Lonchura striata: one gene and its partner. The protein of the gene in region 1 purifies or fractionates together with the protein of each later gene. This does not show direct contact. Links are inferred from orthologs where the notes say so. Each region holds a gene or a part of one and is shown in the gene's direction. Other genes may lie near its edges.

What was found.
Region 2: the proteins of ITGA6 (region 1) and CD151 purify together in Homo sapiens (co-immunoprecipitation; 3 studies listed by BioGRID and IntAct, with this or other methods). This does not show direct contact. The link is inferred for Lonchura striata from reciprocal best matches to the Homo sapiens genes ITGA6 and CD151.

The regions. Positions count from the first base shown.
Region 1 is NC_134610.1:20,600,452-20,615,749, forward strand, and holds the start of ITGA6 (integrin alpha-6), read left to right. Parts: upstream 1-7,924; 5' UTR 7,925-8,019; coding exon 8,020-8,180; intron 8,181-15,298. UniProt on the Homo sapiens protein: Integrin alpha-6/beta-1 (ITGA6:ITGB1) is a receptor for laminin on platelets. Integrin alpha-6/beta-1 (ITGA6:ITGB1) is present in oocytes and is involved in sperm-egg fusion.
Region 2 is NC_134608.1:44,891,349-44,906,688, forward strand, and holds the start of CD151 (CD151 antigen), read left to right. Parts: upstream 1-8,830; 5' UTR 8,831-8,901; intron 8,902-12,135; exon of another isoform or gene 12,136-12,169; intron 12,170-15,340. Other genes in the region: CRACR2B (EF-hand calcium-binding domain-containing protein 4A), read left to right, coding at 38-152, 1,552-1,659, 2,375-2,451, 3,456-3,540. UniProt on the Homo sapiens protein: Structural component of specialized membrane microdomains known as tetraspanin-enriched microdomains (TERMs), which act as platforms for receptor clustering and signaling.

The DNA.
Region 1 (15,298 bases):
ACTGCTCTAAATCCATGTATTTGCTTTATCTTGAATGTTTTGTGGTATTCTGACAATTCTGTCTCAAGAGGCAGAAGTATATAAAGGTACAAAGAATGCCCAAAGTGTTTAAAAACTGTTAAAAAGTGTTTAAAATTATATCTATTTGATAGATGAATTGGAAAATGAGACTTCTGTGTAAGAAGAGATCATTGAAGTGGGATATGACAGAAGTTTATAAAATAATGAATAAGATGACTACAAAGTGTTAATTCACATCTGATCATATAACAGTAGTGGAGCAGGGGAGTTTGAAGTAGAAAGTCCCTTTTCACACAGTGTACAATTTATTTGCATATCTTGTTTCCACTTTGCTGTAGAGGCCAATAATATAATTACAAATACAAATTGGGTTATATAAATTAGAAACTGTTGATAAACACAGTGGTCTGGATGAACCCATGTCCAAACAAGGTCGGTAATCTGCAGAGCACCAGCAGTAAACAGCAAGAGAAGATGCACTGTATTACACATTGTGCAGAAGTGACCTTGCAAATTTTCAGGTTTAGATGGGCTATTTTTCTAATAAGGCACAGGAGGAAGGAGAATTCAGAAACCAGCTCTGGCTGTGGGTTCTGCTGCAGCTTCCCTCAATGATACTGGGGCACTCTGTTGCCCTTAAATAGACCACCAATCTTTTCCACTTGGAGATTGCAGTAATGCTATATGTCACAGGGGAAGAACGAAAGTGCTTTGGATAGTACTTCATGCTCGGTGTGGAACACACATCATTACTGTAGAATATCTGCATTTTATTTTATTAAGAACAGTTCCACAGTAAAATGGGCTAGTGTACCTTTATTTGCAATCAATGAGCAAATTACAATGCCTTTATCTACCTGCTAATTAGGTTGCTCAATTGCTTAAAAGTGGACTTTGATCCTTGGAGATGCTGATTGACTTTAGAAGAAGCTGGGTAACAGGAACTGATGCATGTACTTTACTCTGTGTGATCAGAAATTCACAGCAGTTTACTTGCTTGTATGCTAGAAAACATAGTATTTGTCTGGTGTGTCCTAAAAACACACACCCACAAGTAAAGAAAGCAATACATATGTGTCATGCAGAAAATGATAGGAAAGGTACAGCCCTAGTGAAAACTGAGAACATCTCTCCTGGACTGTATCATTTTAACTTCCTCACTTGTTTGTGTTCCCAGGTGTGTGGAATGAGCTTGGATAGGTTTGGGGTGTTGTCTTTGAGATTTCTGGTGTGAAAGACATGTAAACAAAAAAAGCAGAGCACTCGCAACATACCCACACAGGGACTGATGATTGCAGTTAAAAAAATATAGTTGTTATAATGCATATTTTAGAATAATTCCTCTTATCACATAAAATAAGACTGGGCTTATTTAAATATGATTACTATATGAAAGTTCAAAACCTTTTAGAACTCCCCCCCCAAAAAATTACCCCTGACAGAATTAATTTAGAGAGTATGACCAATGAAGTGATGCTCTGAAAAAAAACCATTAGAGCAGTTACAGTGTACAGAAATGTACAGTGTTTGTGCCATAAATATTTTACCAATTCATAATGTTACTGAAATAATTGTTTAAAACTCAATGCATTAAATTTTGATTGCCTACAAGGCACAATTTATTTTACCTTTTCATATGAAGGTGCTCGAAATTTAGATATATAGAAGGATGGGGAAAAATAGTGAAAAAACAGAATACACAAGGAATAGAGAATTCAAAACTTCTTTTGAAACCTTTCCAATACTGTATAAAAATTTGCACTTTCATAATTAATGAATGACCTTTCCTTCTTTGACCTAGATTTCAGTTGTTTGCAACAAATGAACAAAGGAAAAAAAAATCATTTGAAGTCAGCGAAGCCAGCACAGCAGCTTCCATAAAAACCTTTGCCAAACTGATTAGATTTGCAGTTCACTCACTAAGCCTGCCTGGTCATGGTAGCATCATGCAATGAATATTTTCATTGAATAAATCTGGAATTGAAGATGAACTAATTTTTTTTGTCTGAATACTTCCGTAGTGCTTGCTTAAACATGAAATTGTTTCTGATTAACTCACGTGTGAACAGTCTTATTCTGAAAAAAAAATTCTTCCTGTTGATCTTAATGTAGTTGTTTAATAATTAAACAGAAGCAGTTAATTGGAAAATACTGCATATGTGGACATCCTCAATCTTTTTCCTGTGATAGCTGTAAATGGTTCAAGGTTGGATAAAATATAGTATTAAAAAAAATTCTTCCTTGGATAACAGATTGTCTTATTTTGTTGATTTTAATTTCTTAATTTGTTTGACTAAATGAGAAAGTTAAAGCATCTGATAGTTTTTTAATATAAAATGGTACAGGTAGATGGGCATCAGGGTAGAAGAATATTTTGTTTCTATAGAAAACTTACGAAACTCCAGAAATTAAAGGTTGCATTGTTCAGCAGGGAGCTTATGAGAACTGCAGTGTGTCTCAGCCTCCACATAATTGCTGTTCATATACAGGCAAAGCAGGGAGAACAACTTGCTTTTCCTTCAGTTAGTAGCTCAGATCCTGAGTGGACTGGACCTTTAAAGACTTGCCTTTGTATAATTAACATTTTCATCATTGTTAGTATGTTAGCAAGTGAGACTTAATATAACAAAATATTGAATTTACTCATTATGGACTGATTTAAAAGACTATGATTAATTAAAACAATAAATTTTCCAGAAAATAAATAGTTTTAACTGGTGGTAATCCAGAAGAACTAGAAAGAGATTTCTGTAGTGCTCTAGTCTGTCTTGTCCAATTTGCTTTTCAGAAAGCAGGATGTTAATCTAAAGAGAAAAGTGAATATGTTTGTTAGATTTATTTTTGTTAAAAAAAAAAAAAAAAAAGGAAGACACGTTTTCTATTAGCAAAGAAAAAGTAAAGGAAGTAGAGGAAGCATCTTTCTGAGACTGCTAGCTTTAGACCTTAACCAGAGAAGCAGCCCTAGCTGGCTTTGTCTGCAGCTGTCTGAAAACCATGTTTAAACATGTCTTGACCACAGGTCCTGTTGAATCAGTGGCAGACACAGTTTGGTTAGCACATGCAAATGAGCTGGCTGTAGTACCAAAATAGTAGAATTTCTAAAGACAGTGGATACAGAAAAATTTAAATCTGTTAGAAAAAAAAGAAGTTGGATTTCTTTGCATGAATCACTAGAAGCCTCTGTGCAATCGGAGGGAGCTTTACCTCCCCCATGGAAGCTAACAGCCAGCTGGCTGGCCTCACAGCTGGGTCTGCTCCAGGCCTGATGGGAGGACAGGTGTAACAAGTGTGGAAATGACCAAGCAGCTGTTTCCACTAGTTTGCTGCCAGAGGCACTTGGGCTCTCAGCTGTGCTGTTACAGTAAGCTAGATCATGACCTAGAGACCAGAGTCCTTGAGTGACTGGAGCTCCTGATCTTGTGCCTTGCAGGTTCTGTCCCAGGGCCATGTCCTGTCCAGCATCAGCACCCAGTGCAGTCCTTGGAGGTAAGTGCTATCAAAGTTGTGTGGAATTGTGTTCTGGGTGATGGCCAAAGGCTCTTTAGTCAGGTCTCTGTGAGCTAGGAGAGTGAAAGTGTCCTGAACAATAACCCTTTCTGTCTCTTGATGGGGTTAAAATATGTCCTGTGAAGGTTTGTCTTGCTTTCAAAATTCCTGGGGAAAATCTCCAGGGAGGGCCTGTGAATAACTTGCTTGTAAACCTTCTCTCTTCCCTCCCTGCCAACACCTACCCAAGAAATACCTTGTTTATCTTTCAGATCTCCTCTGCTTCCTTATACGCCATTGTTGGCTGCTTTGGTGCAAATTAACTAATTTAAGATGCACATTGAGGGAGAGTTGGCTAGAACTACACAAAAGTTTGCATCTGGTATCAGGTTATGTCTCTCTACACTGGTGAAAATTTCTCCAAGAGAGGCAAGGTTTCATGTGCAGGACATATGGCAGATCAAGAAAAGCATGAATGGTACGAATGGGTCTGAGATGCAGTCAGTGATACAAATTTCAGCTGTGGTAATGTAAGAGCTTTGGGGATATAAATGTCTCTGAGAAAACCACAGAATGGGGCTGCAAAGGTGCCTGTGATGTGTATAATGATGTTTCAGCTTCATCTTGCCTTATGGTGGGGCAAATCTTACACAGTGGTGTATGTTACTAGTGAATTAAAACACAGGCATACATTCAAAATCGCTGCAACTTTATGCTTTAGTTTTAAGTAATTTTGAAGGTGTATCTTTAATTCCTTCCATAGAAATACAAACTATGGCTGCTTGATTCCCATTTGTCACCAATGTTCCTCTGATCTCTGCACAGCTACGCTCATTAAGTGCCTCCTTGTATGTTTACATAGATGTTTACTCTCCAAACAGTTCTCGTCATTCTAAAACTACTTAAGGAATGTACCTGACAACTTGGGTGGAAAAACATTCTCTAGATGTAAAAGACTGAAAGAAGTGCTTCAGTGTTCTTTGGTGAACACTGGTCTCAGTGTTCACCAAAATTCCATGTCTGGACTGAAATATTTCTTTTGACTCATATTTTTATTTGTGTAATACTACATCTAACAACATAAAATATTTTAACATTACAAGCAAGTAAAGGATGGCAGAATGTCATCTTGTTGTTTTAGACATCAAAGAGAAAAAACCAAAGTTATAGGAAAGTAGTAACATCTTCATTTGGAACTGTTGCTTAAATAGAGCAATTAGTAAAAAACCTGCATTTTGGTTACCTTTCTGAAAAAATAGTAAAGAGAGAGAGACGGAGACATTCCTCATCCAGTTATAAATGACATAAATACAATCAGTGTTATGTCTGTGTAAGTGAGAATACCAAGTGTGTAAATATAACTATGTTCATGCTCTGGATTTAGATTGTTTAAAGCAAAACATTTTGCTTACATGGTATTGAGCAATTTATTTCAATCACCATTTGAAGCCCCTTTATCTCCCATGCTGCTGTTTGCGATTTCTAATGATTGTTAGGGAACTAAGAACAGCTATGAGGATATACTGGCAAAGATAGTCTGATAACCTGGCTGCATAAAAATGCAGGTGTTTCTTGTAGCTGTTAAGAGGGGTCTGTTGAATAAATGTATATAATTTTTCTAGAATGTGCAGTTCTAGAAATGGTATGGATATTGTGTTCAAGAGAAAACATCCAACCATTCAGGCTACTAACACTTAAACCTAGTTTATATTTCTGAATTGAAACAATGCTGTATCTTTGGAACTTTTATAGTAAACCAAACTTTTTGGTGATATCATTTTTTTTCATCCGGAATTACATAAATTAAGAAATCAAGCAGTTTTTAAAAGGAAATGGGATGGGGATGTTTACATATTTTGTCTTTTCAGGACCATTTGATGTGCTGCATTAAAGCTGCACAGCTGAACATCCACAAACTGTGTATTTCTTTGTGCAGTATATTGTTGATACAAAGGATAGAATTTCAGAAATGTAAAACATTGTGCCTTGCCTTCCTTCTAGGGAAACCCTTCAAATGTCTTGCCAAGCTCTAGCTTCTGCATTCCACCTCTTTTATTTTCCAGAAATGATTTTTTTTTTTTACTTTGTAATTAGCTACGCAGTTGTACAGAGGAGGAAAGTATTGCTGGCAGTAATGCATGTGTCTACACATTGAGGCTTGCTCATTGTGTAGACACAACATGCAAACATCTTGTAGCCCTTCAGCCGACTATCAACACACCATTAATAAGCAGACAGCTTGAAAACTCAGCAATAGCACAGTGTTTGTTACAAAAAAGAGAAACTGCTTTGATCTGGCCACTGCATTTGTTAGAATCGCTGCGTTATTATGCATAACAGAGTGCTCATGTTTAATTGGTCATCATACCTAATCTTCGTATGGTCCCCCTTTATACCAGGATTGTAGAGAAGAGGAGTTCCTGAAGTATGTGTTAGCTACAGATAACTCACAGTATGTTTATTTTGGAGGAAGAGCAAAGGAAGGAAACTGACATATTTGTAAAACCTTTCCCCCCCCCCCCTCTCTCCTCATCTAGAGCAAATGAAAATAGTACGGAATTATGAGAGACCATCCAAGGTAATTCTAAGCTGTTCATGTGCAGTTTTGCTCCACCCTGTATACACTCTATTTTTGTTGTTCTTGCTGTGGTCCCTTGAGACAGGTGTTAATGTTACTGTGTCTTGGAATGCTTGTTACTGCATCTGGAGATGAGAAAATTCTGTCTCCCCTCAGCAATCTTTGTGGATATGAACAAACAAGTACAACATGCTCAGGCAGTGCTGGTTAGAGGGAGGGGGAGAAGTAAAATAAAACTAATGTGCCAGTATCATTCAGGAAGCTCTGGATGAAAGTACTTCTGTGACTTCTTGCAAGTTACTGAGTACAAGCATTACTTAAAAATTAACTATAGTTACTATAAGAGTATTAGAAGCACACAAGTTTTGATTGTCCCAAAACAGCTAAAACTTTGGTACAGATATCAACACTGTTTTAAAGGACTTGTTTTCAAATCTTTACTAATTACTGTGAAATACGTAGATGATAGTAAAACAGCCTGTAATTAGTCTGGGACCCTGCCCTCTTACAGGTCCTTAAGTGAAACTAAGGCAGTATTTATGCCAGTACAATTTTCTGCTGTGGCAGTGATTGAACACTGGATTAAGACTTTGAAGGAGTTGGGCATGGAGGAGCAAGCAGGGAAGGACTCTATTAGTAATAAATATCTGGGAGCTTAATTTAACAAAATGTTTTGTTTCCACATTAGAAACACAATTCTGGTGCATTTTCTTCCCCTCTTTTGATCAAGGGTGTTTTGGACTTGAGCCAGACTTGTCTATACATGGAGGTATCCTAGAATAATTACTCTGGAAAAAGTACTTTGGATTAACTCTGTGGGAGTATTGTTTCAGAAGGAGTTATTTGGAGTATCAACAGATTTGAGTGCTCTGTCTCTATTGCCCTTTTCTCAGTTTCTCTGGAATCTTAGCTTCTTCTCTCTTTGTACTCTAGATACCAGTAGAAAAGAACAATTGAGTATTGTCATGCTGCTAAGAATTTGTGAGGTTTTAAAAACTTGCATCTGCTTTCCTAAACCAGAGCACTAAACCAAGATTCTGTTCAAAAACTAAAACCTCTCTGTTTCTCTGGAGTGGGTTAAGTTGATAAGGTATGCTGGCAAATAAGCTTTTGGAGTTATGGGTGAAAGCATGAGAAAATGACCTGGGATCCAAACCAACATACTGTTTTTGAACAATTAAAAGGTAGGAATAAAAAATTTTCAGATATGTTCAGAGACAGGAAATGCTGGAGGAGGAGATTCAGGTAGTCTTCAGTTTCTGTTTTCATGTGGTCTGTGAATAGTCTGGTAAAAGAGAGATTTTATTTTTTTCCCAGTCCTTTTTTTTTTTAGTTCTTCTCTTGCACGTATGAAGGAATTTGGGGAATACAGACTCAATACTGGGATCATACTGTCCATAGTTCTGTACCAACCTTAGCACATTTGGGCAATGTTATGCCCATGGTCGGTACCCGGACCGACCTGACGGCGCTGAGCAGCAGCCAGACCGGTATCAGCCCCCCAGGGGGGCATGGTTTGATGGCTCAAACACATCTCCCCCCGCCGTGGGAGCTCTCTGCCCTTTTCCCCAACGGTGCACGGGGGCTACGGCCCGCTCCTCACCTGCGGCCGTGACTCGCCCCTCGGTAAGGCTTTATTTCGTGTCGCGAAGCGCAAAGCCATCCGAGCCCGCGGCCGCGGCAGACGGTGAGCCCCCTGGGGGCCCCGGGAGGTGATGGGCGAGTCACGGGCGGGGCGACGCCCTCGGCTGCCCCTCCCAGGGGAAGGGGCCCGGCCCCGGGGACATTTTGTGCTGTGCCGGGGGCCGGGCAGCCGCGGAGGGCGGGGCGGGGCGGGGCGGGCCCCGCGCGGAGCCGGCGGGGCACAACGGGCGCGCTCGGCGCGGGGAGCGGCGACGGCGCTGGCGGCAGGTTCCCGTGCCGGGCAAGAGCAGATGGCGGCCCTGCTTCTCCTCTACCTGCCCCTCCTGCCGGGGCTGGCCGGCGCCTTCAACCTGGACACGGACAACGTGATCAGCTGGAGCGGGGAGACGGGCAGCCTCTTCGGCTTCTCCCTGGCCATGCACCGGCAGCTGCAGCCGCAGGAGAAACGGCTGTAAGTGCACCTCGCCCCGCCCGGCCCCGTCCCGGGCCGCCTGCGGGGACCCTCCTACCTTCCACCGCCGGGAAACTTCCCCTGGCGGCGGGCCGGGGTCGCCAGCCCCCGCGAGGTGTCCGGCCGGCGGCGGGAGCGGGGCCGGGCCGCCGGCGGCCCTCCGAGGGATGGGCAGCACCTGCCGCGGGGCGCTGCGGAGCCGGGGCAGCGCCGAGCGGCGGGGACGTGCGGCGGGGCGAGGGGCCGGCCCCGCGCCCGGGGACCTGCGCGGAGCCGAGGCTGGAAAGGGGAAGCGAGCGGCAGCCGCCGCTGGGAGCCCTTCCCGCCGCGGCGCTCTCCTGCGCGGGCCGCGCCGGTCTGCGCCGCCGGAGCCTCCCCAGCGCTCGGGTCTGTGCTCCGCGGCATACCCGGCCTCAGGTAACTCCGGGTCTGCTGTTCGACACAGACCCTGCCCGGGAATGCAGATGAGAGGTGATACAAAGAAGTTAGGAAAAATAAGTCGGGGCTAGTGATGTATGCATGAAACTTCTTTTGGGAAATTACGAAGGCAAAATAAGGCTCCTGTGTACATCGTCAGCATCCTTGCTGCTTTGTGTCCATAGCGGAGCAGTGGTGGACCCCACCCTATCCAGTAGTGCTGGATAGCGTGTGAGTGTAAAGTATTATTGTTAAATAAATGCCTCCTCCTCAAATATTTAGTTTTAATTCAAGGCCAGATACATTCATTATCCATATAGAGTTTACGAAATGAGGAAGCTGGAAAGATATAATATTCTTCATAAAGTTAGGTGGTAAATTGAAAAATCCTGTGGGCTCATTTTGCTCACACTTGCGCTCCTGTGTGATTTCATAAAAATTACAGTGTGTAGAGGAGTATAAGTCACATACACGCATGTTTCATCTTCCACCTAGCAGATAAAATGACCCATAGTATCCTGAGGAATGAAATGCAAATCTATGAGCTCCTTTCCAGAGGCCTTTATCTTAATTCTTGACAGGATTACGCTTGCATAAGTCTACTTTTAGAGTAGACTCTTTTAGTACGACCAAGAAAGCAATGCCTGAAGCTTGTTAGTCTCCTGTTGTATTGTCGGTCCTGGCAGAATGAGTGTGTAGGAATATGCAGACAGCCAATTACTGAGAAGAAAAAAGCAGCAGAAACACAAGGACAGTCACAGTATTCAAGCTGGTATGTACTATTTGGCTGAAATGCTTCAGAGATTATTGGCATGAAAGTTCTGTATTGTATGTCTAGTAAGTGCTTCCTCAGGCAGTCAAAGAGCAGAGCCAGATGCTATCTGCCTTGACATGGCTTTCTGAATCCAGGCTTTCATGAGAAGCAAGGATCTCTATTAGAGACAAAACCAGGCTAGACAAACTGCGTTTTATGGTGACATGTGCTTCTGAGTATGAGGTGTCTTGGCCATTTTTCAAATCCATGAGTTTTAGCATAAATAATTGGAAAGCTACCCTGGGTAGCTGCTGGGTAGTATGCTTGGAATGAAACCTTTTATGTCAAACAGGCATGTTGTAGTCACTTTGAACATAATTTTTGTGTCTGTAAGAGTTGTAGTATGTGGCTTTATGAGAACAAGACATTAAATATGCTGAACTGTAGCTGTCTTAGGGACTGAGCTGTGTTTAGCTCACTTTGAGTTCTGCCTTCTGAAGAAGGAGGTTTGGTGGGGAGTGTTAAAGAGAAGCCTTCCATGTTAGGCTGCATTTTTATATCAGATAAAAATGAACTAGGATGAGCTAATACCAAAGGATTTGTGTGGTCTTTTCCATGGATTGATGGATTCTTCATAGCTGGAACAAATGGTATCTGCTGTCTGGATACTTGGGGAAGGTAGAAAGTTATGGGAACAGGAGGTCACACTGAGGTCTACTGCTGAGAAACAGTTATTTCTAATGCCTTCATGCTGCCTGTTACTTAACAGCAGGACTCAGGGGTGCAATACCTCTGCATTCCCAGGTGCGTTTGGGTCTGTCTTACCTATGCTGCAAAAGTGAATTTATATACAGCTATCTCTTAGTCAGATAGAAGTATCTGTTTTACCCTTTCTTCTTGAATAGATGCTAATTTCAAAATACAGTTACATTTAGAGTGTGAATACTGTTAAGTAGTTGCCAAAAATACAAAAACTCCCAATTCATACTGAAGCATAATTAAGAGTGATACTTGGAATCTCATCTGGCAGGGACCCTTATTTCAAAGAAACCTGTCAGTTTGAGCACCTTTCTGTCCCTCAAGTTTTACAAAATTAGGTTGTCATTAAGCATGTGCAGGATTAGTCCATCTTTGGAAAAACAAGAAAATGAGAGAAAGTAAAATACACTGATTGTATTCAGGGGCTAATGGCTTGGTAAAACAAATTAAATTATGTGTAATTTTCCTCTTACCTCACTTACGCATTTGTTAAGTGAAATGGTTCCCTCTTCCTCACACAGGAGTGTTCAGTGTGATTTAATCATTGCAATAATCCTCTGTAAAGATGCGGGTGGAGAATGTCTGGGAGGTGTGACAAAGGTACAGCTGAAATAGCCTTTGATTAAACATGGTATTTGCTTTTGACCATCTTTTTTGCTTAGTCACAGAATGTTATGGATTTCATATTAGCTTTGAATGGCAAATTAGTTTATTAGTGTTAGCTACAAATGCCATGTTTTCTAATTGCTTAACTTTCACCATTATGAAGAGATGACTGTTCAATTGCTTTGACATTAGTTGTAAACGGTGCTGAGTATAAAGCTATGGACTAATAACAAGATTTTGATTTTAAGTATCTTCAAATTAGAAGAGTTAGAAAGTTTGTCAGGTGGAGAGGAGAAAATCTTTTATGGTAACTGAAAGTGGATTGCTAATGGTATGTGGGTGTGAAAGACAGCTGAATGCAAACTTTATGTGCGTTGCGGAACATTAATGTTGGGGGTACCAAGGCAATCTCCCTGGATTTTTGTGTTTGGTTCTGGCTCATTGTCAAGCACAGTGAATGAAGCAGCAGAAAAGGCTGATGGAGCTCTAAAGGATCTGGGTTTGTTGCCCTGCGTAAGTTTGTTCTGTTTTTAATCTATAAATATGATGAAAGGTAGTTCTGGTTCTGCAGGGGAATGGTGGCACAACAGCAGCACATTTCATCTGCAGACTGGAAGAAGGTTTGTAGCTTAGAGGGGTCTGTGACTGGGGGCAGAGCTATAGGAGAAACATGTAAAATGTATGTGGTTCTGTGATGAAAATGTGAGTGCATCCAGCATCTCTAGATGGGGACTACACTGATCATGCATTTATTTGCTACTCTATGTTATATTACTGTTAGAATAAAAATACAATTACTAGCTACTCACTATATATATAATTTTATAGAATATATAGAGATACGGTCTGTATGTATGCATATTCTATATGTCGAGCAAATCCATTCCAGTTTGGCTGTAATTCACAATGATTTAAGCATCTTGAATTAAAACACAAGCATCAAGAATATCTAAATTTGTATATTATTTTCATTGAGTCCTAGAATCACTTGGGTTGGAAAAGATCCTTAAGGTCAGTCCAAGTGTAAATCTTAACACCTGCTAGCCAGTTTTTTTTTTTTTGTTTAGAATGATAGAATCACAAATTGTCCTGACTTGCAAGGGACCCACAAAGATCTACTAGCAAGTAATTTTGATATTATTTTCAGTAGAAGTAGGGAGCTGAATTCAGGTAAGTTTCTTGTTATTGTGTGAGGCAAAAAGGGTACTGTAGTTACTAACATTTGGGATTCTTCCATCAGCTGAAAAGCTGTAGTGAAAGCTGTGGATAGGCACTTTATGTCAAGACTGCACTGTCCATTACCAGCCATAAAATCCTAAAAATTGCAGTGTCTTACTGAAAATTTTACTTGGTACTGGTTTTGCTGATGCTGCACGTCTCTACTGTGAGCTTTTATATCAATACATAACAAAGTTGCCTTAGGTCAGCAGATCTGCTGGCATTGCTGTACTGCTGCAGTGCAGCCCCAGTGGCATTTAGCCAGTACTTTTGGGTTCTCTGGGGGCTTGGGCTCAGAGATGCTTTGCTTCAGCAACAAAGAGCTGGATTATGCTGGTCTGCAGTGGAAGATGGCAATTTCTACTTGCAGAGGTGGTGTAGTGTAATTCAGACTTTGGGTGAACTGAATTAATGCATGTTTACACCTTCAGGTTTAAAAGCTGTAATAGTGATGGTCCTTAGTTAGTGCTTCTGTCAATTAAAACATTGACAAATATTTTTTCTTAGGCTGTGATTTTACTGTGTCACTGATCCTTGTATTTTCTTCTCTTGAGTGTCTTTGCGATTTTGTCTATGCAAACTATTCTTAGATAACCTGCTTAGTATACTTACTTGCTTTCTTAGTGATAGGAGGCAGTTTGTAGAGGAGTTTGTGTTTAAGATAAATGGCCTGTGGCAAAGGTCAGGATCAAATGAAGTTGGAAAGGAGGAGTAGTTGAAGAGTTTTCTTGTAGTGGTAAGGGACAGATATTCAAGGAAGATCCATTGTGCTAATACCATGGGTGAAAAAAGTGAGGTGAATTTATGTTGTATAAGGGATCTGTAGTTGTTACAGGAGGAGCAAACTGCAGAAGTCTAGCTTTTTTCCCAGTACTGATTTTGAGTTATGTTCTTGGTTATCGGTGGCAGAAGCCAGACAGGTAGGTTGGCTTCTCATAAATGCTTTCATAAGGCCTAACAAGCAAAGAAGAGTGATTACTGATCTAATTTACTGCTGTATGATTTCTCCACCAAATAAATGAAATTAGCATATTGGGTTGCCTGGCATCTTACAGCAGTAAATTGTTCATCAGTCAGCATGGGCCATTCTTTTTTCCTCTGTTAAATTCCACCTGCATGTGCCAGAGCAATTCTTAAGTTTTGTAAGGAATGCATTCTGGTAAATTCTCATTGGAGATAGCACATTCATTTTAAAAGAACTTCATTTAAAATCAGCTATTGTTTAAATGTTTCAGAACTAGCCTGGGTCTAGATGAGTCATTCTGGCCATAACTGTAAAAATGCCATGTTCTGAGGACATAATCTGTGGAAAGGACAAGACTGAGGTAAGGCTATTGGGCAAATGCCATTTTAAGAGCAAGTAAGTAAAAATCCATATTATTGTATGAGCAGATGGTGGTCTGTACTGTGAAACATTAGCTGGAAAATGAGCACCTTATCATGGTATTTAGCAAGGGTAGGTAACAGCACATGAATATTTGAGAAACTATGCAGAATAGTCTGGAAAACATGGAATAATTGCTTTATTAGCACTAAATAGTTTTGATTGCAATATACATAAGCAAGTTACTGCTTTGGAAGTAATGGGAGAAGAATGTAGCTTAGAAAACAGACATAGACGTGGAAAAAAGGTTTAACTTCAATTTTTAAAGGAATCATTCTGTATGTTAAAAATAAATGAATTATACCATAGGTTAATAAAGCTCCTTTTGCAGCTGTAGTATCAAACATACTGTATTCTTCTTAAAATGTACTTCCCTTGGATTTAATGTATTTTGAGTATCACATTTTCTAAGATTATTTTGAGAATTCCACAGCAGTTTCTTTAGAAAAGTGCAGTTGTTTTGGTTTAGCTTAAAGAACAGGCTGTGTGTATTCTGCTGTGAAGTACCTGAGACAGATTTTTGTACCAAAATACCAGTGAAAGGCAAAAGGTACCGCTTCTTGCATTGTGATTTTTGGAACATTTACTAGTATGCATTGATCATTTTTAGATCTGCTGGAGCAGTGGCTGTTTTTCTTTTTTTCTCTTACAGAACTGCATCTAAAAAAATGTAATTTCCTAATGTAGATTTCCTTCAAGTAGTTGAACTAATGTGTGTGAGGATGATTAGACTGTGTTAGGAAGGGAGAAGGTCTGCTGAATCAAGGGAAAAAGGAGGGATTTATGGGATGGGCCCTGTCAAGATGCCATCTGCAGCATAAAAATGTACTCTAGTCCCTCCAGGGTAACATGGAGAGATCATGCACTGGATTTCACTGCCAGCTAGTGAGTTTCTAGGCTACTCTTAAGCTGTATTCCTTGCATTTGTTTTCTATTTTCAAGATGTTTGGAGATCATCTAAGAAATAGAGAACAGCAGATTGGAATTATGAGTATTGTTGAGTTTGGTGATAGCTAGTGTCGATAGGAACGGCAGAGTTTTCTTAGACTGAATGTTGCTTCCTTTTTAGTGAAGATGACAGTTTTTTGGAAATGGAGCTGTATGTTTAGTCTCTGCATGTTGCATCTGTCATTGTCACCTTCCTCAAAAGTAGGTCTATAAAATATATCTTTAAAAAAAAAGAATTGCAAATATGCTGGAGACAACTTCACTCCTGTATTGCCCGGGGTTGTTTGCTCAGCAGCACATGCATGGGTCAAAGGTCTGAAGGAAATGCATGTTTATCCTGGAAGTGGTCAAAAGTGGCAACCAGCTGTTGTAGATAGCAAGGACACCATCATGTAAGGCTGAATTTTTTGTGTCCTTTACTTAATGCTCTTTTCACAGTACTCTGCTAAGGGAATTATAAAGATTTGTTAGCCTTGCACTTTGTCGTCAGTGCAGCTGAAGCTGCATAATGGTTTAGCCTGCTGGCTCTTAGATGTTAGTGATGTCTAGCAGAGTGTATGAAAAGCTGTTTTAATTATCCATGTTTGCGTAGTGTGAAAAACCTTCAAGTGAAAACCATGTTTTCTTGGCCAAAGATGCAAAAATAAATTTAGCATATTTTTTTTCTTACACAGCCAACTCTTGTAACTGCTACTACAAATATGGTGTCATTTTGCAAGTCCCTGTAATCTTTTTATCCACTCACTTTATTTTTCTGCTAGATAAATGTGTGATAATTATGTGGTGTGGTCCCTGAATATTGCTGAAGATGTAAGTTTATTCTCTTGCCAGCCAAGCTGTGTTCCTGCGTATAGTGGAAGAAAACTGTTGTCAGATGAGATGTAGTCCTAGAAATAGCTACAATACTGTTTGCACAACTTGCAGCTTACAGGAACATAGGGTGTTAAAAATACATGAAAAAAACGAATTCTAGATTCTGCTCAAGTGAGAATGTAGAGAGTGGCAAAAAAAAATGTATGTATGAGGGGATGT
Region 2 (15,340 bases), on another chromosome or scaffold:
TGGTTCTGAGGGTGCCTTTGCTTTTGTCTGGGCTCAGGTTTCGGAGCATCACCAAGCAGTACTTCCGGAAGGCAGACGGGATCCTGGTGATGTACGACATCACGGCCGAGTGCTCCTTCCTGGCGGTGCGGAACTGGATGAGCAGCGTCCAGGTGAGAGCGGGACCTGGGCTCCAGTGCTGCTGGTGCTCCCTTGCTCCAACAGCCTGCCTGGAAGTGACATTTCTCACTGCCCCGGGAAGTCCTATTGTGAAGCTGAATTGTCAAAGCAGATTCCTGTGCTGGTCAGTTTAGAATCAGAGGCTTTGTGTCAAAGGTAACAAAGCCAGTGGTAGCCCACTAAACCAGGGAGGGCTGTTTCTCAAGAGCAGTGTGGGTTTGTAAGCAGCCCATGTGCACTGGCTACATCTCCTAAACGTGGTCACATCTCACCTGTGTTCAGGCAGGGAGATCTCCTGGTGTCTGGCCTATGCACAGGAAAGGGAGGTGGTTCTTTTTAGTTCCTTTCTTAATTTAAACTTTGGTAACAATGTATTAATACTCTTGGGTTTCCCCCATCCTTTATTTCCAAATACTCACTAAAAGCATTTATCTGTGGCTTTTATCTTCTTGGGGATACAAAAATACCTCTCTTTATACTTTAAATTAGTTGTGTGTAGATAATCAAGAGGTGAAGGGAAATTTTCAAGGGTGGTTTTGTTTTGATTGTTCTGAGTCTCAAAAAACCAAGATCTCAGTGGAGTAAGTATAGATTGGAGAATTCTAGTATTGTTAATTTCCACAAGCCTGTTGGGGAAAAAAACCCAAACAACCACTTAGGTCTTTGGACTCCAAAAGATCAAATGTTAAGATCTTCAAAACTAACCAGCCTCTGCAAATCAGGTTCCTTTCAAGAGGAAGGTTAAATTGAGTCCACAAAATGAAATCTGTGTATTTTAATCTCCATCTTCTTTTCCTCTCCCCATCTTTGTATTTATTTTGTTTTGAAGCTGTTCAGGTTCTGTATGTCATCCAGGGCACTTGAGTATGGAAATAACTTTGAGCCCTTTTCTTACTCTGACCATGTTCTAGTGAGCCAGTGGAATTATAGAGTTTGACCAGAGGTAAGGTGCTCCAGGAATTGCCTAAGAATAACAGTTCCTATGGAGACAATTTACAAGGGGTGAACTTGCTCATCCAGAGAATTTTCAGCAAGGGATTGTTGAGTCTAGGACAGCACATTAGACACAGTACTGCACATACAAAAATTACAGAGCTTATGAAGAAGAACTGCCAGATAACAAATTCCAAAATGCCTATGGGGAAAGCTGCTTTTCTTTAGGCTTCTTATTTTCCTGAGAGACACTTATGTCCTGTCTCCCCTCTGCCACTGTCCCAGCTCAACCTACCAAATATTTGGAATGATTCCCTAGTTCAAGCTTCATTTCACAAATCCCTGGCCCTTTAATGGTCTAATGGGCCTGATCCTGCTGCCACTGAAGGTGTTGTTTGGTGGGCTGAAAGGATCTGCTCGGAGTGGCTGGTTCTTTAGGGGTCTTTATTTCTTTTGCAGGAAGGTATAGAGGATGGAGCTGTGGTCTTTCTGCTTGGAAATAAATTGGATGCTGTACAGAGAGAGACCTGGAAAGTACCCAAGGTGGAGGGGGAAAGGCTGGCAAAGGTGTGACTCGGTGCTCTGCTGTTTGACTTGCTCTGCAGCCACCCTCCAGCTGTGAGCAGGGCAGTCTGGCTGGCAGAAAGCCCTTCTTGGAGCTGTTTTCCAGTATGGTGCCTCCCACCCCCTGTTTCTCCAATGTGGACAGGTACCCAGGTCCCTCTGGTACAAGGGAGGATGAGGTGGTGGCCTGTATGTGGCAGACAATGGCCCTTGAGGAGGCTCATGTATTTCTCATGGGGCTTGATGCCTCATTTCAGTCTTTCTGAGGGGAACATGCATGGCTGATTTCCCATTTGAGAACTCCCTAATGGAACATCATCCTGCCTCTTTCCTCACTCCCTTGACTGCCTGCCTGCTGGCACTTTGGCCCCTGGGTGGGGGGAGACAGGGTTTCAAAGGTATTTCCTGCCTTCTGGACCCACAGCAAAAAAGGAAGGGAATCAAAGTACCCTGGACTGATGTTTTCTCTTCCCAAACAACTCCCCCAGTGCTTCCTTTTGGACACGCTGGCTTGGCCCCCAATGCTGAAAAAGTATCTCGTCCTCCTGGGCTGGTGAGCAGGGTGTGCACCCCAGCAGGGTAGCAGCCACCCTCCTGGCTCCAATGGCTCTTGGCAGGGTTCCTGGGGATGAGGATGGGCGAGCTCCCAAGGCTCTGGGTGAATGGTGATGGTGGAGAGCTGGCAGTCACCATGGGTGCTTGCTGTGCTCTCTGGCAGGAGTACAAGGCTGTGTTCTACGAGTGCAGTGCCATGACTGGCTACAACGTCATGGAGCCCATGCTGCACATGGCCAGGTCAGTGAACAGGAGCACCCTGGGACGCTTCCCCAGCTGGCGGTGACTGGTGTGGGTTCTCCTGGGGAATGGGCAAGAAGAGGGGGCTGTCAGAGACTGACTCTGTCAAATCCCAAAAGAAACCTGACTCCAGGTCCTTGTCTTTTGTGCCTGAAGAGCACCAAGTGTAGACTGGACTCCTTGCACACAAAGCTTCACCTGATAGAACTGGCTGTTGCAAGATTAGGAGTTCAATTTGACTATTTCATCACAAAAACCTTGCATGCTGTCCCAGATTTTAAACTGGTGTTTTCATTTTGAAGTTTTCATGCAGCTCTAAGGGTTCTTTCTTCCCTGTCTTAATAAGCACTGTACAGACTGAGCTATTTCAGTGGCAATCATTTAAAAATGAGATAAGATACTGTTCAGCTGAGGGAACTTTGCTCCAAAATTTTTAGTTTAAAAAAGGGTAGTTTTTGGGGAAAAGTATTTAAAATCTCACAAGAAAACTATCCTTTTGTTTTCTTTGATCTCTTCACCTCCTCCTGCACCATGTCTGTTTGAGCCACAGCAGGACTTAGCTGTTCATTAACTGGGTGGATTTACTTGTCAGCTAGGTGAATCACAGCTCCCATAGCACGTGCCTTCAGCATGCTTTATTACCATGGTGCTGCCCAAGATGGCCCAGCCTGGTGGAGCATACAACCCAGGATTCTGACATCCATGGGGGATCTTGGGAATAAAGGCACAGGCCACTCACACTGGTGTTCAGATTACCAAGTCATGGTACCCCCTCTTGTATGTGTCCAGTTTATTTCCATGTTCCCTGGAAATTCACGCTCATTCTCTGTATGTCATTTATCTAGCTGAACTTCCAGAGAAGTCCAGTCTTTGGGCCTGTCACTTCTTGCAATCTTAAATATAAATCCTAAATGGCTGGTGGAGAGCAAAGGGTAGAGGCAAATGCCTTGGCAGGAAGAGCTCAGTAACCAGGTTGTATTCTTGATCTGTGCTACTCTTTCCAGGTTGCTGACAGCACAAGAAGACAGGCAGAGGGAGAATGCCCTGCAGCTGGAGGATATCAGCAGGAGGAAAGGGTGCTGCACATAAAGCACAACGTGTCAGCATGAGACATGTGCCAATGCTGTATCAAGAAGCTGGGGGTTCCTTTCAGGCAAGCTGAATTTGGTGGTATCAGCTCTCTAGAGACTTGGGGAAGGTGCAGCTTTTCCCAGTCTGTGAATTTTGAGGCATAAATCAGGCCAAAATATGCATATTATCTGCACTGTTCTACTTCCAAGTCTGCATGCAGTGCTGGTCTCTAGAGGCCTCTGCTTCTTTGGGAGAATTTGGCTAGTCTTAGCTAGTAGCACAGACTGGGCCTTCTGTCTTGGAGAGGTTTGTTCCCTGTAAAGGAATGAAGTCTTGTTCCTGTTCTTTCTGGAAAAGAAGTGGCCTAGCAGCAGAGACCAGAGGACACAGTGGGTCTGTATTAAATAGAATTTCTGTATAAGAAGGAAAGAAAATATTTTAAATTTGGGCTAGCTCTAAGTAGTGATCCACCTGTCTCAGAGAGAAGCATCTCCTCTTGGTTCTGCAGAAGCAGTACTCAGCTGAGAGCCTGCTGTGATGGGAACACTTCCACCACTTCCTGCAAGATCTGGATTGGGCCCTGGATTTACTGCAGGATTTGGTTGGACTTGCCAATATTGTAGTTAACAGATTCTATATGTGATCATAATAGGAACTGATAGGATGAATCCCAATGGCTTTCATTGCTTTGTCACCCTTATGGACCTGTTCACTGTCCTTAAAGTGAATGTTTACAGAACACAGAGCAGCTGCCCTGGGACCCACAGGCTCTGGCATGTGCTGCTGATTCATAGTCCTTTGCAGGATGGGCCCTTTGTGCTGTACAAACCAGGGGAGCCATATATAGCCTGTTTTAAGGCTGAATGCTGCCTGTTTCCTCCCATTCTCTTATCCTTTCCTGAAGAATCTCCAGCAACTTGGAACTGCCTTACCCTCTGTCCTGAAAGATCCCACTAGAGTGCTTTCAAAAGCACCTGGGCTGGAAGCATGAAGCAGCTGCCTGTGAAATGTACCTTTTTCTCTTGCCGGGACTTGGAGCACCAGCCTCGCTTTACTGGTGAAGGGCCTGAGAATGAGCTGGACTCAATCTGTTCCCCTTGGGAAGGGACCTTCTTGTCACTAAGGGTCCAGGCAAAGCAGGGCAAGGAGAAGCAGGGCAGAGGTAGAAACTGTCCCCAGAAGTGCTCCTATTGGCAAAGTTGCCACAATGCCTGGGCATAGAGCATCTGGGGTGCCATGCTTTCTGGTTTGCAGCTCAGCTCTCAAAGCCTTGGGATTAAGTGAGATTTTTGCTAGTGCCCTTTCCCCTTTTGTCTTCGAGGCTGTTTCTGTATGTGACTCTGACATTTTAGGCACAAGATACTGCAGCTGTGATGCAGTCCGCAGATCTTGCAGTATAGGGAAGGGCCAGTACTTGTCCATGGTCTTTCCTCTCTTGGGATGAGGTGGGTGTTCTGAATGCCTATTTATTGCACGTTTTTTGCTGGGAATATCCCAGACAGGAAAAGTACTCTGAGTCACCCCTACAGACATCAGTATTACAAAGAATTTCCATGGTTCCTTCTGGTGCCCTTTACTTCTGATAGGAAAGAGGAAGTTTTTCTCTGGATGAGCAGGATTTCTGAGTAAAAGGAAGAGCTAAAAGCAGTAAGATCCTGTTCAGTCCTTACTGTTGGCTGGCTGTGGCTTAACACTGTTTAACTGCACTAATGCCTTCCAGAGACTGGGAATTGGAAAGCTACAAGAGGCCCTGAAGGAACCAGGGTAGCTGGTGTGGAGCCTGGAGTAAGACCTACAGTGTTTCCAGGGGAACTACTTGTGTTTGCAAGGAGTGATTTTTGGGAAGGGGAATCCATGCTAAGATGTTCTGAATGTGTGCCTCCCACGCTTTGTACACAGCACACCTAAGACAAAGGTGTGAAACACACCTGACACACAAATATGGGCCAGTACCTTTATCAGTGCTGTCATACTGCAATGGCAAGAACCAGCAGGTTCTTTCAATGTACAACCTTAAGTATGTTTTCTTAGTGTGCAAACAGTACAGGCAATAAAGAAATGCTGTCTTACAAGTGGTTGTGTTGAGAGATTTTTTTTCAGGTGCTGCAGGAGATTCAGCCTCCCATGTTCAATCACTGATCCTAGTGTGACCCTCCCTACTCACTGCTCTAGCAGTGGCCTGTCCTGCATGGTGGTACACAGGGAGTCTTACAAGCAAGGAAAGAGTTAACCAGGAGCCCATGTCTTGGGGGCAGCTCAGGAGAAATTAATCTTATCTTTTTTTACCTCCTTTAAGCAGCCAGAGTCCATCCAGCTAATTACGGAGGGCAGAGCACAGAGGAGAAAAAGGGGAGACACTTCCTGAATGTCTGGGGGGTATAGTGGTTTCAGAGAGAGACTGAAACCACTCTCACCTTGTCACCTCTATTAATGGAATTAAAACTTTATTTTATTAATGTCCCATGCATCCTTTTCACTAGAGTTAGGAATTTGGTTGCTTCTAATGTGCCCTGGCATGGCTCCAGCTGGATGTTCATGCATTACAGAACTAATCACTCTGCAGTTTTGACCAAACAAATTGTTACTCATTTCCCCTGCTATAAACTGATAACAGAAGTAGTTAATTGTAACATATACTTTTTGTAAGCAGGAAAGGGTGGATTTTTGTTTCAAGGATGACAAAATGGCACAGAATTTGAGCATACTGAGCTTGGACAACGGTAAGCAGCAGGGTGGGGTTTATTACTGGAAGATCTTTTGTTGTCTCTCAGCACAAAGATTACATTGTCCTGTTGGAAGACTCAGCCACTTACAATCTAAAGGGATATGTTGCTAGTTTTCAAACCTGTCTGATATCAGACCTAAAGGAGACCAGAATTTCCAAAAAGTTCTTCATTTTAATACATTCCCTTTTTTTGTCAGAATCTCTCCTGCCTCTAAATGGAAGCTCTGGGAGCAGCCACCTTTTGTAAGTGACTGCTGGAAACTCTAGCATAAATGCAAATAATGAGATACCCTGAGGGGCATGAGATGAGGGGGGATGCAAAATAAGACTGCCTGGGGGCTTATACATTCACCATATTGGCTCCAGCCTCTTAGTGAACAAGTGACTTTTTGCACATAATCTGTAAAGTATTTTGGAATCATATCACAAGAAAGACTCTTCTTGCAGCCTGGGAAGCCTTATCCTGGAACATGCAACAGTGCACCTGTGTACACAATCAGGCGTAGAGGCAAAAGCATAAAAGCCAGCTGCTCTGATAAGTAGCCATGGCCCCACAAATCCCTGCAGGCCAGCAAAGGGACCTCACTCTGCTTTGCTTTCACTTATCTGTTTCGTGTCAATATACTAAGGGTAAGCATAAGAGGATTAGGCTGACAGCATCTCTTTGAAAAGCCAAAACAGGGCTGAAAAGAGAGCATTAAGCCACGGTGTTAAGTTTGAAGCTTTTCCACAGTATAAATGCAGAAATTTCAAACATTTGAGATGTTGTTTTCTAGTACCTTCTTTATTCCAGGTCCAAGGGACCTTTTCCATTTACATACAATTAATGAGTTACTGCTATGGGTAACTCATGCATTCACTCACATATTACTTTGTCCTGTCACCTTCTTCTGTGTCTTTTCATGATCTTTTTACTTGTTGATTGCTTAGACTATAAATATATATATTTATTGCATTAATAAGTAGACGGGACTCGGTTTCTTCATGCAGAAAAGTCAGTTCTTTATTCACAAAGCTCATATTTATAGGCGATCTCAGAAGGCACTGTTAGACCTAATTGGCTAACAATACACTGACACAGTTTATTGGTCGGTAAATGGCTAGGGCGTATGTCTGTCAAATCTCTATATTTTGTTAGTTTACATATTTTGTTCCCTGACTCCTGTGGGACAGATTTCTTGTTTATTACAGGTGCAACTTAGTTTTCTAAGGATAGGTTGTTATGCAAATGGATTCTCATTCTCCTTCAACTGAGAATTTAGCTGCACTTAGAAGAAGTAACAGTCCAGCTGGTAATTCAGCAGAGCAAGGCTTGATTTCATAAGGCCTTTCTTTTGTAATATCTTTATCTGTATGTAACATATATTGACCAAGTACTTAATCTCCAATGAAAAATGTATCTCACAGCCCATTATACACCTTCAAATGCTCTGTTTGGCAATCTCGTGTTCAGTGTAAATAGACCTGGGGCCCTGCAGTTCAGAGCTTTGTTAGGAGGTGCTCATTACTGAACTGGCTGTTGATGAGTCACAAGGAAATTTTGGTTGGTGTGGCTACAATAACCCAGCTCCAGCCTCTCCAGCCTGCAGGGCATATTTATATACATATATGTACCATGCTGCAAACACAAGTGTGGCTGTGTGCTACTTCTGAAAACACTAGTCCACAGAAGACCTGACCAGGTAAAATTAGTCTCCTCAAGGTAAACAAGTATCTGCAGTAAAAAAACCCAAAAAACTATTACTCCAGCAATAAACTGAAGACGGGGAGATGGGCATCCTATGCTGTATCTCACCTTTGCCTGCAGGCTCTCCCAAGCACAAAGAAGCACTTGTGCCTGGTCATGCCCGTTCACTGACCCAAATCTGCTGGGTTGGGGGGGTTGTGTGGTTTCCTGTTTGGGCATGAAATCCCTGGACATGGCAAGAAGGCATTTGCCCAGCATGGTGGCTACGCAGGGCTCCACCAAGGAGGGCCAGGACCTGGGCAGGGGCCGGTGTCTCTTGTGGCTTCCAGATCCTGCGACATATTCCTTGCAACAAATCTGTCAGTGTGCAAGCAAGCTGACCCCCCAAGGCTCTATTTGATCACTTGGATCTCCAGCTGCTCTGAGCTAAAGCGAGCTTACTCCTTGGGAAGGATGAAGTGATTTCTGAGTTGGGCACATGGAGAAGTTAAAGCAAGCACGCAGGAGGTTCTGAACTGGCCTCTCCCTTCCCTGCCCAGATCTCCTCTCTTCGTCCCACTCCTGAAAAACCAAGAGACGCCGCGGAGAGGAGCGGGTGTTTTCCTGGGAGCATCCCTCGCACAGGGCTGCGGCTCAAGTGAGGTAATGGGAGGATGAGGCAATGTGCCAGTCAGGGCTTGATCTTGTTTTACAGGGTTTCATGGAGAACACTTTTAACAAGCGGATCTGACTCCTAAAAAAACCAAAAACCCAAAAAAGCGGCTCCATCTGGAGTTCGCTGTAATGGAAGCAGCACCGTGAGGCGCCGGAGCCGAGGGCTGCGGACAGCCCGGGCAGGCAGCCGGGGGAGGCGGCCGGGCCGGGGTGGGCCGGGCCGGCCGCGCCTCCCTCCCGCCCTCCCTCCCGGCCGGGCCTCCCGGCAGCGCGGCGGGTCGGGGCGTGCGGCGGCGCGGAGCGGCGGCCCACGGTGAGGCGGAGCGCCCGACATGGCGGCACCGGTGGGACGGGGAGGCGCGGGCGCGGCGGCGCCGGCAGCGGGCCGGGGAAGGGCCGGGGCGGCAGCCCGGGAGAGCCGGCAGAGCCCGGGCCCCGTGCGGCAGCGGGCCCGGCTCTGCCGCAGCGCTGCTTGGCTTCCCCTCCAGCGCCCTGTGGCTTTGCACAGCTTTGCAGGGGCTTGGCCCTTGTATGCTTTGTTTTTGTTTCTTTTTGGTTTTTTTTTTTTTTTTTTTTTCTTAGGAAAGTATTTTAACCTGTTGCGGCTGGTGTCATAACTTTGCACAGCCCGCGGAATTAGTAAAGGCGTTCTGAAATGTTGCCATAAATCTGGTGAAACGATTTTTACCCCCTTCTGCCTTTTGTTCAGTCAGATTTCCCTGTTGTACAGTTAAGAGTTGGCCTTTCTGCTGGGCTTGTAGGACCCTTGTAGGCGGAGGAGGGAGAGAACGAGCGCTTGTTTACCACGCAGTCCAGGCGATGTTCTGTTCCCTTCTTTTTCTGGAAGCTGCATCAGATGGGGAGCTGATGGCAATGGGTTATTTCTGCACCGTTGTGTTGCTTGCCATGAGGAATCTTTGCCAGTAGCTTCTTCTTCTTGTCCTCTCATGAAGAACGTGAACTGCGGTAGTTATTTTTAAAGTCTGACTTTTCCTGAGGGCTTTTGTAATCAACTTGTTGCAGTATCCTGTTGCATTTTAGCAGTGACATATCTTTATTTCTGGCTACTGTGTAGCATCCCTTAAATTCTGCACTGCTCATTTCCTTTGTCCTCCATCCGCACTTCCTGGCTTTCTCTGAGGGTTCATGAAAAAGGGTTGACTTGAAATAGCATCACCCATCAGAGGCTGTTTGTTCAGACAGTTTTGAAAGACGTCCCTTTCTCAGAAAACACATTTATGTCCAATGCCATGGTTCTTAGGGAAGCTTTTGGTGTGACGAGCGGTCTTACCAGCTGGTATTGTGGAGGCTGAAGAGTCTCTTAGCATCCCACCAGTAAGACAAAGGTCTGTCCCAGTCCTCCTGGGTGACTGTCATTGCTGCCAAAGGACTGTCTGTGGTGAAGGGAGTAGAGTGCCTGTCTTGGCTGAGCTGTGGCTAAGCTCATCATAACTAGAAAAGTCAGTGCAAAAGTTTCAGTGCGTTTATATTCTCTGAAGCATTTTGTGGGCCTAGGACAGGCAGTTCCCAGTCTGTGGATTATTGGAAGCTGGGGTAGCATCACTTATACTTTATATGATGCATCTGGTGACAGGTCCCTGTCAAAGGCACAGCACTGGCTTGCACAGGTGGGCTGGCTACAGCTGCTCTGTGAGCCAGCTGGAAGCTTGAGCTGCGAGCTGGATGAGGTGGCAGCTTTTGAACTCCATGTAATTCACCTCAGATCACATCCTTGTTCTATAGTTTGCTGATAATGTCTTTGAGTTCCTGGCCTGTATTTACTTCTGGTCATATGCTGTATTTCTGCAAAAAGTATGTTTCATTCCAAACTGTTGCTTGTGTTCATTGTCCTGTGGCTTCTGCAGAGGAGGACAATGACTCCCCCAGTTGCCTGGTAAAAGTCCTGGCACTCCCTGCTGTATGCTGGCTTCAGGGATCAATAAGAAAAACGTATTTTCTGAGTGCTTGAAATAATATACCATGTGTGACACTTCATTTTACTCTGAAGTCTGAGGTGGTTAATCCCTCTTGTACATTTTGTGAGAGTTTAACCAGTTTTATTTCTCCTAACTCAGAGCAGGTCTGTTAAAGGGGTTTTATTTGCTACTTGCAGTGCAGTGTCCGAAAGTTTCTCTCTTTGGGTGTGATGCATTCTTCATGAAGGGGGTGGAAGAAAGCTGCTGGTTTTTTGTCAAGCAAAAATGTTCAGTGGGAGTAGCTGTGAAGGGCTCTCTTTCCCCTTAGGAACTTTCCAGCAGGCCTATCATTCTCAGCAAATAAAAGTTCTATCATGGCTTGAACTGTTGCATCACACATGCAAAGAAGGCAACAACTCCCTTACTCTTGAGACAGCCCTGAGGGGGTTGATTAGAGACCTGTGTCTCTTCTAGCCAGGTTATCCCACAGGCAAATTCACTTGTTCCTTCTGCATAATTTGGCTTCTTCGCCCAGGAACGCATTGAACTGTTGGTTCTGGATGGATGGAAAATGTGTATTTACATGTGTTTGTTTGTGTAACATCTCTTATCACCATGTGTTCCCTCTTGTGGCAGACTATCCTGTCTGGCATTTCCAGGTAATTTGGTCATTTATGAAGCAATTATACTGTCCTTCTGTTCTTCTTGTGACTTGTAAGGCAGAAGCTTAGAAAGAAAAACACTTGACAGCCTCTGAAAAGCAAAAAGGGTAGCTGTGAATTTTCATGTCCCAATTTACCGTTACTATCCCCAGTGGCTTCATCAGCCTTGTTCCTTAAGCCTTGTGAGAGGATGTTCTACCCCTCAACTCTACTGTATTCTGCTCTTGAGCTCAACACTGGGTTATCTCCAGCTCTCCCTGGGTATGTGCACTGACAGCTGAGGTCATGGAAAGCCTGAGGGAGGGGTGCTCCTAGAAGTGACAGCTCATCTCAGCTTCTCTGGCTTGGAGGAACAGAAGTCGTAGTCTCCCTTGTTGTTTAAAACCTTCAAGATCCTAAGGATATAGACCAAGTCTCCTATCTCACTCACTCATCCTGCCTTTCAGACCCTAAATATGGTTTTTCTTTTGCCACAGCAAAGCTGAAATGAAATGGACAGTGTCACTGTAAAACCATCCCATTTTCTCATCCTTTTTTGTACATGCATTTTGACAGTGCTTTTCCCCAGGATGGTGACCATCTTCCTAGTCTGTGAGAAGTGTGCTTTTCCCTTCTACCCTGTGTCTGAAGCCAGGGTGTGGAAGGAGAAATGAGGAATGGTAGGTGTGTGGAACGGAGATGAGGTATTCTGTCAGTTCTGTGGAGAGTGCCTCATTCCATCCCTCCCCACAGCACAGAAGCTGTTGGCTGCCAGGCCTTCTTGGCAGGGAGCTGCCCTGTAGTAGCAGCACTGCTGATGGGCATCTTTCTTCAGTGCTCCTTTCTGTCCTGCCTGCCAGACTCCTCTGGTTGTGATCTCAACAGCCTGGGATCCTGAGGAATGGATTCAGGGAGTCCTACTAAGCCCTGTGTCCTGGCTGCTGGCAGTAATAAAACTCTTGGCAAAATGAGCAGGAGGGTGATGACTATTTTCCACTCCTGGAATTTCATGGCTGAGTAAGAGGTATGTTTTGGGGTCTGGGCATTTGGGTGTGACCAGCTTGGTCCATGTTTCTAGCCTGAGTTTCTTGTGCTGGTCAGGTGGTTATGACCCCAATCCAAGCTGCTATGCAGCTCTGTATGGCCAGAGTGCAATAAGATCAATGTGGGACTGAAAGTGTGTCCAGCTCCTTAGAAGGATGCAAGCAGGAACTGATGCCATGACATGCTAGCTGGGCTTTTCATGGAGTTACATATGTATGTGTGTTTGTGTGTTTATTTCTTGCATGCTTCTGATGCCAGTAGTAGGTTGACATTATTGAAGGCAGGATACTGGTTTAGTGGGATAAAGAAGGACATCAAGAATTCTGTTCTGCAAGAATTGAGGGAATGTCCTTGGCAGCTGTTTAAATTCATTTGGGTGCTGATGTACTGGCACTGTTGGCAGGGTGCAGCCAAGCAAATACACACTGTGCAGCTCTGATGGACGTTGCATTGCCTGCATCCCTGTAGGCTGCCGTGGAGCCGCCTCTCCTGCCTGCTGAGGTGAGTGCATCCCAGAGAGGGAGTGTGGAGGATGTGGGGTGTGGTATGGCCTCTTAAGAGAGGTGGAAATAAGATGTGTGGGAGGTGCAAGAGAGGATGTTGCTCAGACCCACAGGTTGTTCCTGGCGGCAGTAATGAGGCTTCATAAAGAAAAGCTGAGGCAGAAGTCGGTGACATAAAATATTTGGCATTCACCATTGTTTCTTATCTGTGGCTGGTGCCAGATCTGAATACAAAAGGAGCAAAGTTCACTTGTTCAGCCCAGGTTTTCTTTACTTTTATAAGAAAGAAAGCAGCAGTGGGGAGCTGGGGCAGTGGAAGAGTTGTAAGGGTGAGTGCCTGTGCTTCAGTTAAATCTGTCCTTGTAGCTGTGATGTGGAAGATGGACACTATAGCAAAAAATGCAGTGCCCTGACTCAGGGAAGAAATGATGATGTCTGGCTCCAGATCAGAAGGCTGAAGGATCTGCTTTATTAAAACTACACTATATTACATTAATATCCTATTGAAAGAGATACTGTACTATTCTACATACTTCTTACTTACCTATCTAGCAAACAAAACCCAGGACTCTTTGCTGAGAGTCCAAGACACAATTGGTCATTGAACCCAAACAACCTTCATCAGAATCCAATCAAGCAATCACTTCAGGTAAACAATCTCCATACCACATTCCACATGGGGAAAACAAAGAAGCAGAGATAAAGATTGTTTTCTCTTCTTCTCTCTGTGCTTCTCCTGAGAGACAGAATTATGTCTCTTTGTCCAGAGAATGTGAATGTCACAGAACACTCTTGAGACACAATGGAATTGGGAGATCTGCAGCATGTTTCCCAGATGTCTTTGCCACTGTAGGAGAGGGGTAAGTTGAAAGAAAGAAACACCTTTTGGAGGTGCTGTGGGAGAAAGATCTGCTGTGCTTACAAATGGTTGAGGTGGAAATGTGTCTGATACCTGACCCTGGAACACTTCTACTCCTTTGGACAGTGGAAGTGAGCAGGAGAAGGATCAGGCAGGTGATTACTGTTTTGCACTACTGGCATTGCATGGCAGAATAACAGATGTGTTTTGGAGTCTGGGCTGCATCTGGATCTTGCTGATCTTGCTGGACTGTCCACTCCCAGACAGAAAAGTGCTGTACAACTCAGTAGGTGCATCTCAGGAGTGCAATCAGCTCAACACAGACTGAAAGTAGTCCTTGGCACCTCTTTCAGTAAAAGCATGTGACTTACCAGCATAGCTGGAGGATGAACAATGGATTAATTGGCTCATTCACTAATGAAATTCAGTTAAAACTGGTAAGAGTGGTTTGAGGTAGGAATTACTGTGGGAGGTAAGAATTACTGTGGGAGAGGTTTCTGTTTTGTCCGGAGTGAGTCGCTGACCTGTTATCTGCTAGAGTAGCAGCCACAATCCCTCTGTGGTTTTTAGGGAGTACTCTGACCCTCATTGTCCACCAAGGTGCAACAATAAAGAAAATAGTGAGGACGGATGGTTTTGATCAAATCTATCTACTATCAGAGCCAACTGGCAGATGGCAGCCATGCTGACATTTCTGACATGCCAGCCAGTGAGCAGGACTTTTGTAGTGTCTGACAAGGCAGCTGTGAGTTATGGCTTGTGAATGTCAGTATTTCTTCTTAGCTTTGGTGGAATCCAGAAGGGAGAAATTCATATCCCACATCTCACCCCCACACTGCCCTGGGAACAGAGATGGTTGGCTCCTTTTCTCCATGGTCACTGCAGGCTGCATGCAGAGCTCCTGGGGAGGGGCTGGGGAGCTGTGTGTGCCATCCCAGAGGTGTACAGTGAGTGTGGAAGCCAGGCACACGGACATGTGGGAGCAGGAAAGAGTCTCATCGTTCTGTGTCAGGTGCTGTGTGCAGGGAATGTGTGGATGGGGAAGTGTTGGACTTTGGGCTTTTGGCTGTTGAAGCATAGAAAGGGTGAGTCCAGTCCTGTGTGGAAGTACCACTTGTTGAGGAATTGACCTGTACTTGGTTGCTGGTTCCCCCTCGCTGTGTGGAATAGCCCTCTTCCATATTTGCTGGGAGATTTGGCTAAAGGCAAGAGGTCTGCTGGAGGTGAGGAGACATTTGGTGTGGTCTCCAATGTACCTTGTCCACTTGGAGGGTTTTTAAAAGGACGTATTTCTTGTTATTGGGAGGACCTCTTCCTGTGTTTGGGATGGAAGAAATGTCAGGCCGGTTCCTGCACCTTTGAATCCCTGTTATGTGGGTTTTTTCCTTCTCCTGAGCAGGGAAAGAGTGCAAGTGTCTGTCTGAGCTCATGTTTGAGGAATGAGGCTGTGCTCAGCCTCAGAAATGGGCTCTGGAGAGCCAAACAAAAGCCTGTTCTGTCCATTGTGCACCCCCCAGGGCTTACCTCTGGTGTATGCAGTGTGTCTGAGACAGGAAGAAAAAAGGGAATGTAAACCACTGTGCTTAGACCGTGGTTGCTGACTTCACTGGGCTGTTTGCCCTCAGGCACTATGGAATTGTGCATCCTGACTCACAGGTGTGCTGCTGGAAGCCTGGGAGGAGGGAAAAGCAGACAGTTGCAGAGGGAAATACCTGCTTTCACTGATGTCATGAGCTTTACTTTGGCTGCAGCTGTCTCCATGTGGAAGAGAACGCCCTTGTAGAAAAAA